Oryctolagus cuniculus: one gene and its partners. The protein of the gene in region 1 binds, or shares a complex with, the protein of each later gene. Links are inferred from orthologs where the notes say so. Each region holds a gene or a part of one and is shown in the gene's direction. Other genes may lie near its edges.

Region 1 (3,562 bases):
CTTCATTTTTATAAAATGTTTCTGACTGTAAGAAACAAAGGAAAGATGGAAAAGACAATCTATTATTTCAAGGTTTTGCAACTGTGAAGAAAACTTATAAACATAATGATAATGTTTTATTTTTCATTTTTAGGTTCAGGTTCTGCGGAATGCGGGAGAAGAAGTGACCCTAACAGTGTCATTTTTAAAAAGAGCACCTGCTTTCCTCAAACTCCCATTGAATGAAGATTGTGCATGTGAGTATTTCTGAATAATGGGTGCAGCATTCACATCATCATATTTACTTTCCAAGCCATTATTTTCTGGTCATAATTGACCATTTTTCTTTAAAGCTGGGATTCCTACCTCAATATATACATATTCTTATATCATAGAGAATACTCTTAATCCTTATGCAAAAAGCATCAATCTTATTTTCCTTTCCGAGTGTTTTCATCACATTTTCTTCCATTCTGTAACTGGAGAGGTAATTTGTTTTAAAAATGGGCATCATATAAAAAAGTATGATTGCATTATATATCTGTTAAATTTCAATTTAAGTATTTTGTGAATATATTTTCTGTAACTAGAAAAATAATCCACATTGATCTAATTACTAGGCTTGCTAAACAAGAGTTTACACAAAGGTTGTCCTGACTAGAGTAGGAAGATTGAAGGAAGTATTGATCTTTGTGGAAACAAATAATTCACAAAAGACTTACTTTAAAAGTTCACTATCTGTTTTGTTTCCTGCTTCTTTTGTTCTGAAATGAAACATATTATCTACTATTTTAGCTAACCAAAAGAAGAATGTTTCATTATTCATAAAATATAGGCAATAAAATGTGATGATGCACGAATTGAATAGTTCTGCTAAAGTGCACATTTGCTTAACCCATGTCTCTCCGTCATAGAAGAGTTTCTCTGTGCCTCTTCTAAGTAAATAACAGTGCTGAAGCAACTATTGTCTACTGCATTACCTCTTGTAGAACCCTGTTTGATAGAATCATACTGTACCTATCTTTTTAAATCTCTGCCTTATTTCATTAGTAATAACTTTTTCAGATATAGGTTCATCATATACATCAACAATTTGCTCACTTCTATGACTATGTAGCATGTCGTTGTATGAAATTTGTAAAATTTATTAATGCATGCTCCTTTGTAGACACCACAGCTCTCCCCAGTAGTTTGCCTTTGTCAATAAAGCTGCAATAAACGAGGCTTTCAGCAGGTTTATAATTTTATTTATAATTTTATTTCACTATCTTAAATAGTGGAGTGACAAGATAGACGTATAATTCAGTTGCTAATACATTGCTGAATGTATTGCTAAAATGGAGTTTTTTTTTTATTGTGGTGAATAACACATAATGTAAGATTTCCTGTAAGAATAATTTTTGACTGTGTTGTACAATAACATGAACCACCTGCACCAGAACCCTTCCATCTGCACAAACTGAAGCTCGACACCCCTTACCCAAAAACTCCCCCATTTCCACTTCTCATACTCTAGGCAAACTCCATCCATTGGCTGTTTACAAGAGTTTGACTACTTATGATGTTTCATAAAAGTAGAATAATGCAGTATTTGTCTTTTTATGACTAACTTACTCCCCTTGGCGTAATTTCCATCCCTTTTGTATTATATAAGAGGCTATCTTCTTATTTCATTAATCTTAAAAATATTATTAAATTTTTACTTACTTATTTGAGAGGCAGAGAGACAGAAAAAGAGACAGACACAAAGAGAGATCCCATCAACTGGCTCACTTGTCAAATACTCTCAAGTGCTGAGCCGGGGACTAAAACAGGGAGCCAGGAACTCAATCCAGGTCTCCCAAATGGGGGGCAAGAATCAGTCACTTAAGCCATCACCACTTCCCCCCAGCTCTGCATTGTCAGGAAGCTAGAGTCAGGATCTGGAGTTGAGTCGCAAACCTAGTTACACTGGTGTGAACGTCGCTTAGCCACCAGGCTGAATGTCTACCTCTAATAATTATTTTATTAACACATAATAATTATAAATAGTCATGAGCTACAGTGTGAAGATTCAGTACATTTATACAAGGTGAAATGATAAAATTAGTGTAATTAACATTTCAATCACCTCATGCTGTTATCCTTTCATAGTGTTGGTAACATTCAAAGTCTCCTCTTGCACCTATGCTGATAGATGATAAATTAATATTCACCTAAACATAATTATCTCAATTATATTTTTATACCCATTAACCAACCCTTCTCTCTCCTTTCCAGAATATCATAACCAATATTCTACTCTCTACTGCTATGACATTAACTTTTTAGTATTAATGTGTGAATGAGAATGTGCAGTATTTGACTTCATGTATCTGGTTTATTACACTTAGAATATTGATCTCCCGACTATACCATAAGTCACAGAATTTCATTCTTTTAATGGATGAACAATATCCCATTGTGTGTATATACCACATTTCTGTATCCTTTCATCCATAATGACCGTGGGAGTGAAGGTATCTCTTTAGCATAATGATTTGATTTCTTTGGAAGTACATCCAGGATTGGGATTGCTGGATCATGTAGACCTATTTTTAGTTTTTAAGTACTGTTCTCCATAATGTCTTTTCCAAATGATATTTGGATTAATAGTATATAAGAATTCTCCTTTCTCTACTTTCTTGGTAACACTTGTGTCTGTTTTTATAATAGCTTCTATAGGAAGATGAGTTGATATCTCATTGAGGATTTTGGTTTACATTCCCCTTATTATTATGTTGAGAATCTTTTTCATCTACTTATTGGCAATTTGTATGTTTTCTTTTAAGAAATGTCAGATGAGTTCATTTGCACATTTTACATTGAACATTTTGCTTTATTACTACTAACTCATTTTATTTATTTATTTTTCTCCTATTATAATTTGATCATCCATACTTGGCTCCACTTCTGGACACTTTCTTATTTCTGTTAGTTTATGAATTTATTTTTCATCAATGCCAAATCTTTAAGTACTGTAAGATTTTAATGTTTCCTAGAATACATACTTCAACTTTGCAACTTTTCAATATTGTTTGGCTATTCTAGATCCTGCATTATTGTATACATTTTGTTTAGGTTTTTTTAATTGTGTGCATTTTAAAACTAGCATGCCAATTTATATAAAAATCTTACTTGGATTTTGAATAGGATTAAACTGGATTTATAGGTAATATGGAGAATTACTCATCAAAAACTATATATTTTGTCAATACCTATCTATTTATTTATATTTTTATTTTCCTCAGTAATATTTTAGTGTTTTCAATGGTAATGACTTCTGTAACTTTAACATTATTTCTGTATATTTTATGTTTTTAAATTCCATTGTAAAATATCTGTCCAGTTGTCTATTAATAATAAATATGTATACATATTATTTTTCATATTTAAACATGCTATAACATGCCTTATTTTTCACTAATTCTAGTATGACATTTTTGTGTATCATTCACATTTTCCACATACAATTATGTGATTAATAAATAGGAAATTTTAATTTTTTTTCCTGTCTATCCTTCTTTAACCCCCTTTTCTTGCCAGTTACAATAGCTAGGACCTC
Region 2 (3,562 bases), on another chromosome or scaffold:
TCTGGGTTAGTGGAGGTGATGGTGCCGTTCTACTCCTCACACACCAGGGATGCCAACCCACAGGATGGGGCCAGAGGCAGTGACCAGATTTGAGTGGACTGGCTACTGCCTTGGAGGTTGCTGGAAACTGGGGTGGGAGAAGGTGAGAGTTTCTGTAAATGTTTACTGAGCTGCCTGTGAGAGAGGGAATATCTCTCCTCAGGGGCCCCAGAAGGCAGAACCAAGGTACACGGCAGAACCAAGATACACAGCAGAACTGCAGGGAGAGAAACTTTTTTTAAAAAAATATTTTTTTGAAAGGCAGGGGTATACAGACAGACAGACAGACACACACACACACACACACAGAATCTTCTGTCCACTGGTTCATTCCCCAAATGGCCACAACAGCCGGAGCTGGCCCAGGCCAAAGCCAGAAGCCTGGAACTCCCTCCAGGTCTCCCATGTGGCTGGCAGGGGCACAAACACCTGGGCTAGCTGCTGCTGCTTCCCCAGGTGCATTCGCAGGAAGCTGGATCAGAAGTGGAGCAGCCTGGATTTGAACCAGTGCTCATATGGGATGCTGGGGTTGCAGGTGGCAGCTTAACCCACTGAGCCACGACACTGGCCCTGAGAAAAGTTTTGATTGACACAAAAAAAGTGTCTACTTATGGGCCGGCGCCGTGGCTCAATAGGCTAATCCTCTGCCTGCAGTGCCAGCACACCGGGTTCTAGTCCCGGTTGGGGCGCCGGATTCTGTCCTGGTTGCCCCTCTTCCAGTCCAACTCTCTGCTGTGGCCTGGGAGTGCAGTGGAGGATGGCCCAAGTGCTTGGGCCCTGCACCCGCATGGGAGACCAGGAGAAGCACCTGGCTCCTGGCTTCGGATCAGTGCAGTGTGCTGGCCGCAGCGGCCATTGTGGGGTGAACCAATGGAAAAAAGAAAGACCTTTCTCTCTGTCTCTCTCTCACTGTCCACTCTGCCTGTCAAAAAAAAAAAAAAAAGTGTCTACTTATGAAGACAGCTAAATTAGATTGTGGATAATGCTCGGGAGAGATTGGATAAGTTTTTCCCAGGAAGATTGCCAGTGGCTTCCCAGACTGGGAGGGCAGTGGGACTCCATCATGTCTCAGCTTTCCTCTGTGTTGGGATTCCAGGATGTGGACGTCTTCAGTTAGGAGAGGCCTGAACTTCCAGAGATATCACATGGTGCTCCAAGCTCTTTGATTGTCTTTCCCAAGTGTTCTGCTTTTTCATCTTTGCATCCTTGGGATTAGTGGAGTCCTCAGGATCTAGGCACTGAGCATGTAGCGGGGATGCCGTGTGTGTGTACCTGTTTGCATGTGCATGCAGCAGCCATGGAGCTGCGCTCCCGGGGCTGGCTCCGAGCAACCTGCTGAGGCTTGCTTATGTCCCCAGAGAGCCAGGACGATCTTGGAGTTTGAGAAGATGTTGCCGGAATGGCTGAGAAGCAGATTCCGCATGGGGGAGCTGTGTAAAGTGGCCGAGGAAGACTTCCGACTGTGTTTGCGGTAACTGAGGGAGAGGGCCCTTCCGTGGGGGCTTTTTGGGGGTGGATGGAGGTGGATGAACCAGTGTGACCAAAATATCAGGGAAATGGTGCTGCCCCTCGATTGCTGTAACCAAGGCCGTTGTCTCTTGGGCCTTCTCAGAGGACGGACTCAACTCTTGTGGCATCGTGAGCTCAGGGTGAGCTTCAGAAAGAGGGAGGGGACTGCCCGCTCTGCTTTCACCCCCTGTCCCTTTGAAGGTGCCTTAACAGCCTCTCCCTGGCCAGGGTTGGGCTTAGAAAAGATTTACCAGCCTGACCTTTGTTCTTTTGTCCACCCTCCATGGGTTCATGTGACAGCAGAGGGAATGGGGCACTACTTTAGTATTGGCAAGTAGAAGTGAGATAGTCACTTTTCTTTTTTAAAGATTTATTTTCTTTATTTCAAAGGCAGAGTGATGGTGGGGGAGGGGGAGAAGAGAGGGAGGGAGGGAGAGAGAGGTCTTCCATCTACTTTTTCACTCCCCAGATGGCCTCAATGGCTGGGGCTGGGCCAGGATGAAGCGAGGAGCCCAGGACATCTTCTATGGACAAATCCACACTTTTTGGATTTTTGTAAAGTCCCCCCAAATCCCATGATGAGCCCACCTTTTCTGATAAGTCTGTCTGTTCTCACCCTTTCCTAACTGCCTGACCCTACAGACTTCCATTTTTGCATATAACTGTACTTCCTTAAATTACTTCTCTGAGGCCAGCATGCTGGCATTGTGGCAGGTTAGACTGCCCCTTGGAATGCTGGCATCCAACATGGGATGCAGTTTTAAGCCCTGGCTGCTCCATTTCTAATCCAGCTCCTTGTTAATGTGCCTGGGAGGGAAGTGGAAGATGGCCCAAGTGCTTGGGCCCCTGCAACCATGTGGGAGACCAGGATAGAGTTCCTGGCTCCTGGCTTCAGTCTGGCCCTGACCTGGTTGTTACAACCATTTCCAAATGGATCAGTGGATAGAAGATCTTTCTCTCCTTCTGCCTCACCCTGTTGTTTTGCCTTTCAAATAAATAAATAAATGAAACTTAAGCAATAAATTACTTCTCTAATTGAAGTTCTCCCTCTTGGAAGCCACCGTTGCTGACCATCATCTTTGCATTAACAGATATTTCTGATTTTGAGGGAACATCACTCCAGAGATGTTCTCTGAATGTGAGCTGAGGTCAGACCCACTCCAGCTGTCACTCAACACCTCAGGCACTGCCCACTCCCATTACGACATGAACCCTAACCACCTTCTCTTAAAGTGTCTCTAACCCTAGCTAAACTTCCACACTTTCAACCCTCACACTTTCTTAGCTTTCCCTCCCTCCAGGCCGACACCCTCTCACCAATCAGGCACAGCTGTGATGTCGGAAGATGCACCCTTTGTCTTAGCACCTTATAGGATTCTTGGGTCCTGCACCCTGGTAGGAGAATGGATCCTTGAGGCCTGGGAAAATGGGGCTCCAGGCAGGTTTCAAACACTAACAGCGCTGCTGTGTCCATGGGGAGCATGCAGGGGTCCTGGTCCCCAGGATGGACAGAAAGAGAGCTGTTTAGAGATGAGGATATTCCAAATGCTCCTCCACTTGTTTGTGTTTGATGAGATGTGGTTGCCACATAGCAAAAATAATGGTTATACTTGCAGGATCAATGAGGTGAAGTGGACCGAATGGAAAACACACGTCTCCTTCCTGAAAGAAGACCCGGGACCCATAAAACGGACAGGTAACTGTTGCTGCAAGGCACTGTGGGATCTGGTCCTGTCTGACTGTGTGACCTTGGGGCCAATCAAGTTTGAGGACCACGACTTTTCTCCATCTGTGAAACAAGGGTCTCTTCCAGCTTGGATGCTTTATAACTTCAGTTGGAACAACTTCTAAAAAAGCAGGTGTTGCCCCCAAGACATCAGACATGGCACACAGAATGATATGTTTCTAAAAACAGTTTTATTATTATTTTTAAAGCAGACTTAAACAAGATTCAAGATTCGTCCAGGAGCAACAGCAAAACCACCCTCAATGCATTTGAAGAAATGGAAGAATT
Region 3 (3,562 bases), on another chromosome or scaffold:
GGAGTGAACCAGCAGATGAGAGTGCAGTCCCTCTCTCTCTCTGTCTCTCACTCTCTCACTCTCTCATGCTCTCTCTTTCTCTCTCTTAACTAATGCAAATGAACAAAAGCCAGTGCTTTGAAGAGGAAGTCCAGCACTCTTAGTCTGAAGTTAGCCTGAAGTGACATTAGTCCTGGTCAGAAGTAGCTGGAAGGCCCTCGTCCAGCTTGGGAGGCTAAGGGGGAGGTGAGACCTGACTGAGGGCAGGAAGACCAGCTGATGTCTGAATCAAGATATTTTTGGTAAAGGTTTATTTATTTGAAAGTTACAGAGAGAGGTAAAGACACACACACACACACACACACACACACACACAGGTCTTCCGTCCACTAGTTCACTCCCCAAATGCCTGCAATGGCCAGAGCTGAGCCAATCTGAAGCCAGGAGCTAGGAGCTTCATCCAGGTCTCCCACATGGGTGCAAGGGCCCAAGGGTTTGGGCCATCTTCTGCTGCTTTCCCAGGCCATAGCAGAGAGCTGGATTGGAAGTGAAGCAGCCGGGACTTGAACCGGCTCCCATATGAGATGCCAGTGCTGCAGGCTGGGGCTTTAACCTGCTGCACCACAGTGCCGGCCCCAATATTTAAATATTTTTTTTTTTTTTTTTTAAATTTGAAAGGCAGAGTTACAGGGAGAGAAGGAGAGAGGGAGATCTTCTATCTGCTGGTTCACTTCCCAAATGGCCGCAACGGCCCAGGGCTGGGCCTGGCTGAAGCCAGAGCCAGGAGCTTCTTCTGGGTCCCCATGTGGGTGCAAGGACCCAAGGACTTGGGCCATCTCCATCTTCTGCTGCTTTCCCAGGTGCATTAGCAGGGAGCTGGATCAGAAGTGGAACAAATGGGACTTGAACCAGCGGCACTCAGGGATGCCAGTGTCACAGGCGGTGGCTTCACCCTCTACGCCACAGCGCCAGCCCTGCAACTTCTATTCTTTAAAAAAATAAGAAAGGGGCTGGCGCTGCGGCGTAGCGGGTGAAGCCTCCACCTATGATGCTGGCATCCCATTTGGGCACCAGTTCGAGTCCCGGCTACTCCACTTCTGATCCAACTCCCTGCTAATGGCCTGGGAAAGCAGTAAAGGTGGTTCAAGTGCCTGGGACCCTGCACCCACATGAGAGACTCCGAAGAAGCTCCTGGCTTCAGATGGGCCCGAGCTCTGGCCATTGCAGCCATTTGGGGAGCGAACCTGTGGGTAGAAGACCCCTCCCTCTCTCTCTTTCTCTCTGCCTCTGCTTTTCAAATAAATAAATAAATATTTTAAAAAATAATAAAATAAAAAAATATGTGGGGAAGCCCACCCAGACCTGTGGCTCAGAGTCTTGGGCCCAGGGAATCTGTCTCCCTAGTCAGCTTCCCGGGTGAGCATCCGCGCCAGCCGCTTCTAGAATCTGGGCTTTGTCTGCTAGAGGACAGGGGCTGGTCGAGGTGCCAGGGAAGATGTGGGGCTCTGACAGCGTGGTGCAGAGGGACACGGGTTGTTCAGCCTGGCCGGAGGCGTGCTGGAGCGCAGGGCTAGACAGATGGGCACTGCCGAGGGCTGGGGGCTGAGAGCAGGCCTGGAAGCCGGGACCAGACCCGGAACGGAGGAGGCAGTGTGAAGTCAGCGTCCCCAAAGCCTGGGGCACAGAGCCCCAGGAGCTCGGGTCTAGTGAGAGCCCTCGGGTGGCCCTGGGGAGTGAGTGGGTGTGCCGTGTGTCCGGCACCGGGTGACTGCCTCTCCTCTGGCCAGTGCGCGACCGCGTCCGGACCAAGATGGAGAGGGACATCCTGGCCGACGTGAACCACCCCTTTGTGGTGAAGCTGCACTATGGTGAGACTGCAGCCCTTCCCCGAACTCCCGCACCAGCCCGCGCTCACCCTGGCCGGTGGTCTACACTGTCCAAGCTCCCACCTGCAGGCTGAGGGGCAGGTCACACGGCCGGTGACTCTTGCCCCTCTCCCCAGCCTTCCAGACAGAGGGCAAGCTCTATCTCATTCTGGACTTCCTGCGCGGTGGGGACCTCTTCACACGGCTCTCAAAAGAGGTGAGCAGATAACCCACTGACGGACCACAAGGCCTCCCACTCCTGGGTCCCGTACGGCCTGGGTGTGGAGCCACCTAGGCCTCCCCAGGTGAACCTGATCCAGGCCTTGTCCGGCCTGGCAGCGCCTCCGAGAGTTCCTCCCCAGTGGATGGAGGAGGGCTAGGCCCTGGGTCTGATGTTCACCGACTGGGGGGAGCTCAGGGTGCCTCTCCCCTGTGTGTCTTTCTTCTTCCAGGCTGCCCTGGGCAGAGCTGGGAGCAGCCAGGAGAAGCCCAGATGTGGCCGGCGCCGCGGCTCACTAGGCTAATCCTCCGCCTAGCGGCGCCGGCACACGGGATTCTAGTCCCGGTTGGGGCGCCGGATTCTGTCCTGGTTGCCCCTCTTCCAGGCCAGCTCTCTGCTGTGGCCCGGGAGTGCAGTGGAGGATGGCCCAGGTGCTTGGGCCCTGCACCCCATGGGAGACCAGGAAAAGCACCTGGCTCCTGGCTCCTGCCATCGGATCAGCGTGGTGCGCCGGCCGCAGCGCGCCGGCCGCGGCGGCCATTGGAGGGTGAACCAACGGCAAAGGAAGACCTTTCTCTCTGTCTCTCTCTCTCTCTAACTGTCCACTCTGCCTGTCAAAAAAAAAAAAAAAAAAAGAAGCCCAGATGCACCGAGAAAGCGGGAGACTCGCACACTCTTGTCCCACCTGTTAGCCAAAAGATTTTGAACTGATATAAAAGGATTTTGAGCCAGATACGAAAAATACGGTCATTAACACAATTCCAACTTTAAAGAGAACCAAGCTTTAAAACAAGGGTGGGGGGGGGGGGGTTGGTTTAAACCTTATTGCGGTGTTTGCATAGGTAAAACATTTACATGATTCAAAAGAAAAATATTTATGGGGAAGGCTTCCTCCTACCCCAGTGCCCTGTATCCCCTATCAGTAAACATTTTTATTGGTTTCTTGTTGAACCTTCCCATGTTTCTTCTGCAAACAAATCCCAGGTGTGTTCTGAATCGCCGCCGCTCTGGATACCATGCCCCCTGCCTCGCTGCGTTCCTTCCAGGCTGTGGGAAGCTCCTGTCCTAGTTCATAGCTGTGCACCAGTCCTTCTGCAGGGGCCAACAACACAGTTCCTCCCAGGCTTCGGCCCTGGGACCCCTGGGCTGTTTCCCGACAAAGACCACCACCCTGGGCAGCCATCATTTCATACTTCAAACCCCGTGATGATACGGAGGGCCGAGGAGGCTAGACCCTAGGGACAAGGAAGCTGCTGCCTGCCCAGGGCCCACTGAAGCCCCTCGCGCCTCTTGCAGGTCATGTTCACAGAGGAGGACGTGAAGTTTTACCTGGCCGAGCTGGCGTTGGGTCTGGACCACCTGCATAGCCTGGGCATCATTTACAGAGACCTCAAGCCTGAGAAGTGAGTGACCCCCCAGCCCCACCCTGGCCTCCCTCGGGGGTGCACAGACAAGGGCTGGGGCCTCTTCTAGAACAGGGTCACCTCCATGGGGGGGG
Region 4 (4,182 bases), on another chromosome or scaffold:
GCAGTTTTATGTAGCCTCAGAGGTCCCTAAATATCCCCGGTTTAATTAGCAGTCCTGGAGTTAGGTAATGGCCTGTGGCTCTCTGAGCTGGGCCTCCTGAGGTTTCTAGTCTTCAGGGGCTGCCTGTAATGATGATGTGCACATTTACAATCTTCCTCACAAGAAAACTCGGCTTTAGACCTTTCTAGGTATCTACTCACCATTTATCACAACACATGTGCCAACTGATTCCCATTTTCTCAGATGTCAAAAAAAAAAAAAAAAAAAAAAAAAGAAAAAAAGAGAAAAAGAAAAAAACAACCTAGGGCTTCAGCCTGGTCTAAGTCAGATACTTCTGAACTCAAATTTTCCCCTGGAATTCTACTTTCCTGGAGCGGGGCGCCGGGTGGGGTGGGAGGAGAGTGGGGGGAAATGAAAGAGAGAAAAAAAAATTCGTAGGTTGGTGTTGGTTGACGCCCCTTCTCATTTTGAAGCTGACTGATGTGCGTATTTTGGGGAGGGGGTTGAGGAGGCGCTCTAGGTCTAAGCATTTGTGAACCAGCTCACTCACTGGATAGGTCAACCACGGGGCTGCAGAAAGACTTGACAGGTTTGTTCTGGGCATACGGCCAAGGACTAGACCAGATAAGGCACTTGGCTGAGTCTACAGTAGGTGGGGCGTGCTCACCAGTGCAGGGGTAGCGACTCAAAAGTTTGTTGCAACACCTGCAATCCAAGCAGCAGGCGCAGCGGGAACGAGCCTTTGGCCCCGACAGCACGGAACCAGAGGGTTCACCCCAACCAACGAGGGAGATGCGCCAGATCCCTCGGGCCCGGCCCCTTTTCCCACGGTTGAGAACAAGCAGTGCTTGTCAATCCACAGCAGAGAGAGCTCACTCCGTGGGTAGCAGAAGGGTGAGAGCAGCGGTGCACGGGAGCGGGGGCACGTGCTTGGATGGGGGTGCCTGCCCAGCAGCTAGCCCAGACAGCGATCCTGTGGAGGCTCCACTGGCCATCCCCAACCCCGTCCCTCTGCAGCCTGGGAGGGTGTGGGGGTGCTGCCCGCGCCAGGCGGGAGCACCCCGAGCGTAGCTGGCGAAGCACTTGCCTCCGGAGCTACGCTTGGAGGAGTGGGAATTTGGAAAGTTCCCCAACTCGGAGCACACGTGACCCCTTCCTGAAAGTAGTTCCGACGGTGGCTCGGGTATCCTTCCACCCCCTTTTGAACCCTCCTAGGGCTCCTCGCCCCGCCCACTCGCGGGGCTGCCGCTTCCTACCGTCCTGAACGCCGCGCCCGGGCCGGCAACCTGGGCCTCCAGCGTGCACCGGCCGGCCCGGCGAGCGCGGAAGCTGGCCGCGGGCGATTCATCGTGCCAGGTTTTCTCAGCGGCCCGGAGAGTGGGCGGGGCGAGGCAGCCTCTGAGGACCGAGCTCGAGTTCGACGCCGCGAACGGACCCGGAGCCTGAGGGGACAGATGCTCAGCTCTCCGGGGGCCGCGGAGGGAGCTGTGGGGGTGCGTCCCGCTCACGGGGATCCTCTTTAAGGCGGCCTAGGCAGGAGGCCCTCGGGCCCTGGGAATTCGGGGCGGGGGGCGACGTGTGCACTCTAGCGCGCCCGGCTGAGAGCTTTCGCTTTTCGGGCAAATGAACCGAGTAGCTGGGGCAGCGAGAGGTGGGGCGGTGACTGGAGCCGGATGAGGCGAGACGCGCCGCCGGAGACACAATAGGGGGTCGTTCTTTGTGCTGAGGCTGACACCTTGAGGACCCGGGGGCGGCGGCGGCGGCGGCGGCGCGGGCGCTCTAGGCAGAGGCTGCGACAGTGAGATCCCTGCGAACCGCCGCGATCGTCCACAGCGGGACAAACGGAGTGCGTGCGTTCGCACGCCATGGCGGGGGAGGGGTGTCCTCGCGGCATTTCCCTAGATACTGACCCGCGCGGTCCACCTGTGCACAGGTAACCTCACACTGCAGTCGGCGACACCGCTCAACGCACCAGTCTCAGTTTTCATCATCCACCTTCCTCCGCCCCCACGCCGCCCCGCCGCAGTCTGCCCTGGCTCCGGCCGGGTGTCCGGGCAGAGGCCGAGGCTGAGCTCGTTCCCCCGCCCCGAGCTGCTGCAGGAGCAGCCGCGGCAAGTGCAGCTACGGGCGGGCGCCTCGGAACAAGCCCGAGCGAGCCCCAGGCAGTCACACTGGGCATGCTCAATAGCACCAGCAGGTTGGGGGCCCTGCGCTCGCACCTGGAGCTGCCGCCCCCGCCCCCCACCCCACCCCGGCGCGGCCCAGCCCTCCCCTCCCCCGGCGCGGTCCCGTCCGCCTCCAGCTCGCCCCCCGCCTCCCCTCGGGCTCCCGAGGCGGCCCGGCTCCCGGCGCGGCGGCGGCGGCGGAGGGGGCGGGCAGGCCGGCGACGGTGATGTGGCGGGACTCTTTGTGCACTGCGGCAGGATACGCGCCCGGGCGCTGGGACGCGGCTGCGCTCAGTTCTCTCCTCTCGGAAGCTGCAGCCATGATGGAAGTTTGAGAGTTGAGCCGCTGTGAGGCTAGGCCCGGCTCAGGCGAGGGAGATGAGAGACGGCGGCGGCCGCGGCCCAGAGCCCCTCTCAGCGCCTGTGAGCAGCCGCGGGGGCAGCGCCCTCCGGGAGCCGGCCGGCCTGCGGCGGCGGCAGCGGCGGCGTTTCTCGCCTCCTCTTCGTCTTCTCTTCTAACCGTGCAGCCTCTTCCTCGGCTTTTCTTGCGAGGGAAGGTGGAAGCCGTGGGCTCAGGCGGGAGCCGGCTGAGGCGCGGCGGCGGCGGCGGCGGCGGCGGCACCTCCCGCTCCTGGAGCGGGGGGGAGAAGCGGCGGCGGCGGCGGCGGCCGCGGCGGCTGCAGCTCCCGGGAGGGGTTCGGAGCCGCCTGTCACCATTTCCAGGGCTGGGAACGCCGGAGAGTTGGTCTCTCCCCTTCTACTGCCTCCAACACGGCGGCGGCGGCGGCGGCACATCCAGGGACCCGGGCCGGTTTTAAACCTTCCCTCCGCCGCCGCCGCACTCTCCCTGGCCCGGGCTCCGGAGGCCGCCGGAGGAGGCAGCCGTTCCGAGGATTATTCGTCTTCTCCCCATTCCGCTGCCGCCGCTGCCAGGCCTCTGGCTGCTGAGGAGAAGCAGGCCCAGTCGCTGCAACCATCCAGCAGCCGCCGCAGCAGCCATTACCCGGCTGCGGTCCAGAGCCAAGCGGCAGCAGAGCGAGGGGCATCAGCTACCGCCAAGTCCAGAGCCATTTCCATTCTACAGAAGAAGCCCCGCCACCAGCAGCTTCTGCCATCTCTCTCCTCCTTTTTCTTCAGCCACAGGCTCCCAGACATGACAGCCATCATCAAAGAGATCGTTAGCAGAAACAAAAGGAGATATCAAGAGGATGGATTCGACTTAGACTTGACCTGTATCCATTTCTGCAGCGGCAGCTCTCTGCCTTTCTGTCACTCGCATAACGTGGGAGTAGACGAGTGCGAAAATGTTCCGTAGTTTGGGGTAGCTGTAGCGTTGAGCCCTGGTCAGATTTCCAGAGCATGGATTTTTGTGTCTCTTTTCGGGTGTATTCCGCCCAGGGTGTGTTCAGCTAGACGGAACTCGTGCCTGGTTGCAAGTGTCAAGGCACTGATTGGTTTCGTAGTGCATGTATGTGGTCTCTTCCTAAGGGCCATTGTCCGTTAATGCCGAATACTGTACACTGTTGATGGATTAGTGGGCTCGATAATCCGGTCTTGTAGGTGAACGAAAAAGTAGACGCTTGGAGATTGAGCATATTTCGATTCAATCTTGTTAGGCCCTAGATCAAGGGTATAGATCAGATTAAAATGAAAATTAGTGTTCCGCGTCCGCATATTGCATCAGAATCGCGCAGTGATTTGTTTTTAGTTTCTAGGGTTGCATTGGTAGATTCTTTTAAAAATGTGAATTGTGGACTGATTGGTGTAAGTTTAGAAGCAAAACCATTTTCAGTATATGTGGTGTGTGTGGGGAGGGCAAAAGTAGGTTTGTATGTGTAAATGAAGTTAATTACAGCTTGCAACTGCACTTAGAAGTTTTGTAGTTTGAAATCAGTAGTGCCACAGTGCACCTTATAAGGTTCGATTCACTAAATCTTTGTTCAGTTAGCCGTTTTCTCTCCTAGTGGGTGATGTAGAATCCGGAGTAAAATTTGCATTTCCAGTAGCGTTTTATGTT

Evidence for each region.
Region 2: the proteins of SNTG1 (region 1) and TRPV3 are in contact, whole or in part, in a crystal structure (PDB 7QQN), measured with the Homo sapiens proteins. The link is inferred for Oryctolagus cuniculus from reciprocal best matches to the Homo sapiens genes SNTG1 and TRPV3. Residues at the interface, in NP_001274742.1 of Homo sapiens: Arg62, Gly66, Gly67, Phe68, Gly69, Leu70, Ser71, Ile72, Lys73, Gly74, His78, Ser85, Lys86, His118, Glu119, Val122, Arg126; in NP_659505.1 of Homo sapiens: Pro786, Glu787, Thr788, Ser789, Val790.
Region 3: the proteins of SNTG1 (region 1) and RPS6KA1 are in contact, whole or in part, in a crystal structure (PDB 7PC8), measured with the Homo sapiens proteins. The link is inferred for Oryctolagus cuniculus from reciprocal best matches to the Homo sapiens genes SNTG1 and RPS6KA1. Residues at the interface, in NP_001274742.1 of Homo sapiens: Gly67, Phe68, Gly69, Leu70, Ser71, Ile72, Lys73, Gly74, His78, Ile80, Ser85, His118, Glu119, Val122, Leu125, Arg126, Arg141; in NP_002944.2 of Homo sapiens: Arg728, Lys729, Leu730, Pro731, Thr733, Thr734, Leu735.
Region 4: the proteins of SNTG1 (region 1) and PTEN are in contact, whole or in part, in a crystal structure (PDB 7PC7), measured with the Homo sapiens proteins. The link is inferred for Oryctolagus cuniculus from reciprocal best matches to the Homo sapiens genes SNTG1 and PTEN. Residues at the interface, in NP_001274742.1 of Homo sapiens: Gly67, Phe68, Gly69, Leu70, Ser71, Ile72, Lys73, Gly74, Glu77, His78, Ser85, Lys86, Ile87, Ser88, His118, Val122, Leu125, Arg126; in NP_000305.3 of Homo sapiens: Asp395, Gln396, His397, Thr398, Gln399, Ile400, Thr401, Lys402, Val403.

The regions. Positions count from the first base shown.
Region 1 is NC_091437.1:74,879,153-74,882,714, forward strand, and holds part of SNTG1 (gamma-1-syntrophin), read left to right. Parts: intron 1-133; coding exon 134-236; intron 237-3,562. UniProt on the Homo sapiens protein: Adapter protein that binds to and probably organizes the subcellular localization of a variety of proteins. May link various receptors to the actin cytoskeleton and the dystrophin glycoprotein complex.
Region 2 is NC_091448.1:48,868,404-48,871,965, reverse strand, and holds part of TRPV3 (transient receptor potential cation channel subfamily V member 3), read left to right. Parts: intron 1-1,397; coding exon 1,398-1,510; intron 1,511-3,164; coding exon 3,165-3,244; intron 3,245-3,483; coding exon 3,484-3,562. UniProt on the Homo sapiens protein: Non-selective calcium permeant cation channel. It is activated by innocuous (warm) temperatures and shows an increased response at noxious temperatures greater than 39 degrees Celsius. Activation exhibits an outward rectification.
Region 3 is NC_091438.1:144,950,231-144,953,792, reverse strand, and holds part of RPS6KA1 (ribosomal protein S6 kinase alpha-1), read left to right. Parts: intron 1-1,766; coding exon 1,767-1,847; intron 1,848-1,981; coding exon 1,982-2,061; intron 2,062-3,360; coding exon 3,361-3,467; intron 3,468-3,562. UniProt on the Homo sapiens protein: Serine/threonine-protein kinase that acts downstream of ERK (MAPK1/ERK2 and MAPK3/ERK1) signaling and mediates mitogenic and stress-induced activation of the transcription factors CREB1, ETV1/ER81 and NR4A1/NUR77, regulates translation through RPS6 and EIF4B phosphorylation, and mediates cellular proliferation, survival, and differentiation by modulating mTOR signaling and repressing pro-apoptotic function of BAD and DAPK1.
Region 4 is NC_091446.1:42,814,238-42,818,419, reverse strand, and holds the start of PTEN (phosphatidylinositol 3,4,5-trisphosphate 3-phosphatase and dual-specificity protein phosphatase PTEN), read left to right. Parts: upstream 1-1,320; 5' UTR 1,321-1,321; coding exon of another isoform or gene 1,322-1,348; 5' UTR 1,349-1,865; coding exon 1,866-1,933; intron 1,934-2,392; exon of another isoform or gene 2,393-3,302; coding exon 3,303-3,397; intron 3,398-3,560; exon of another isoform or gene 3,561-4,182. UniProt on the Homo sapiens protein: Dual-specificity protein phosphatase, dephosphorylating tyrosine-, serine- and threonine-phosphorylated proteins.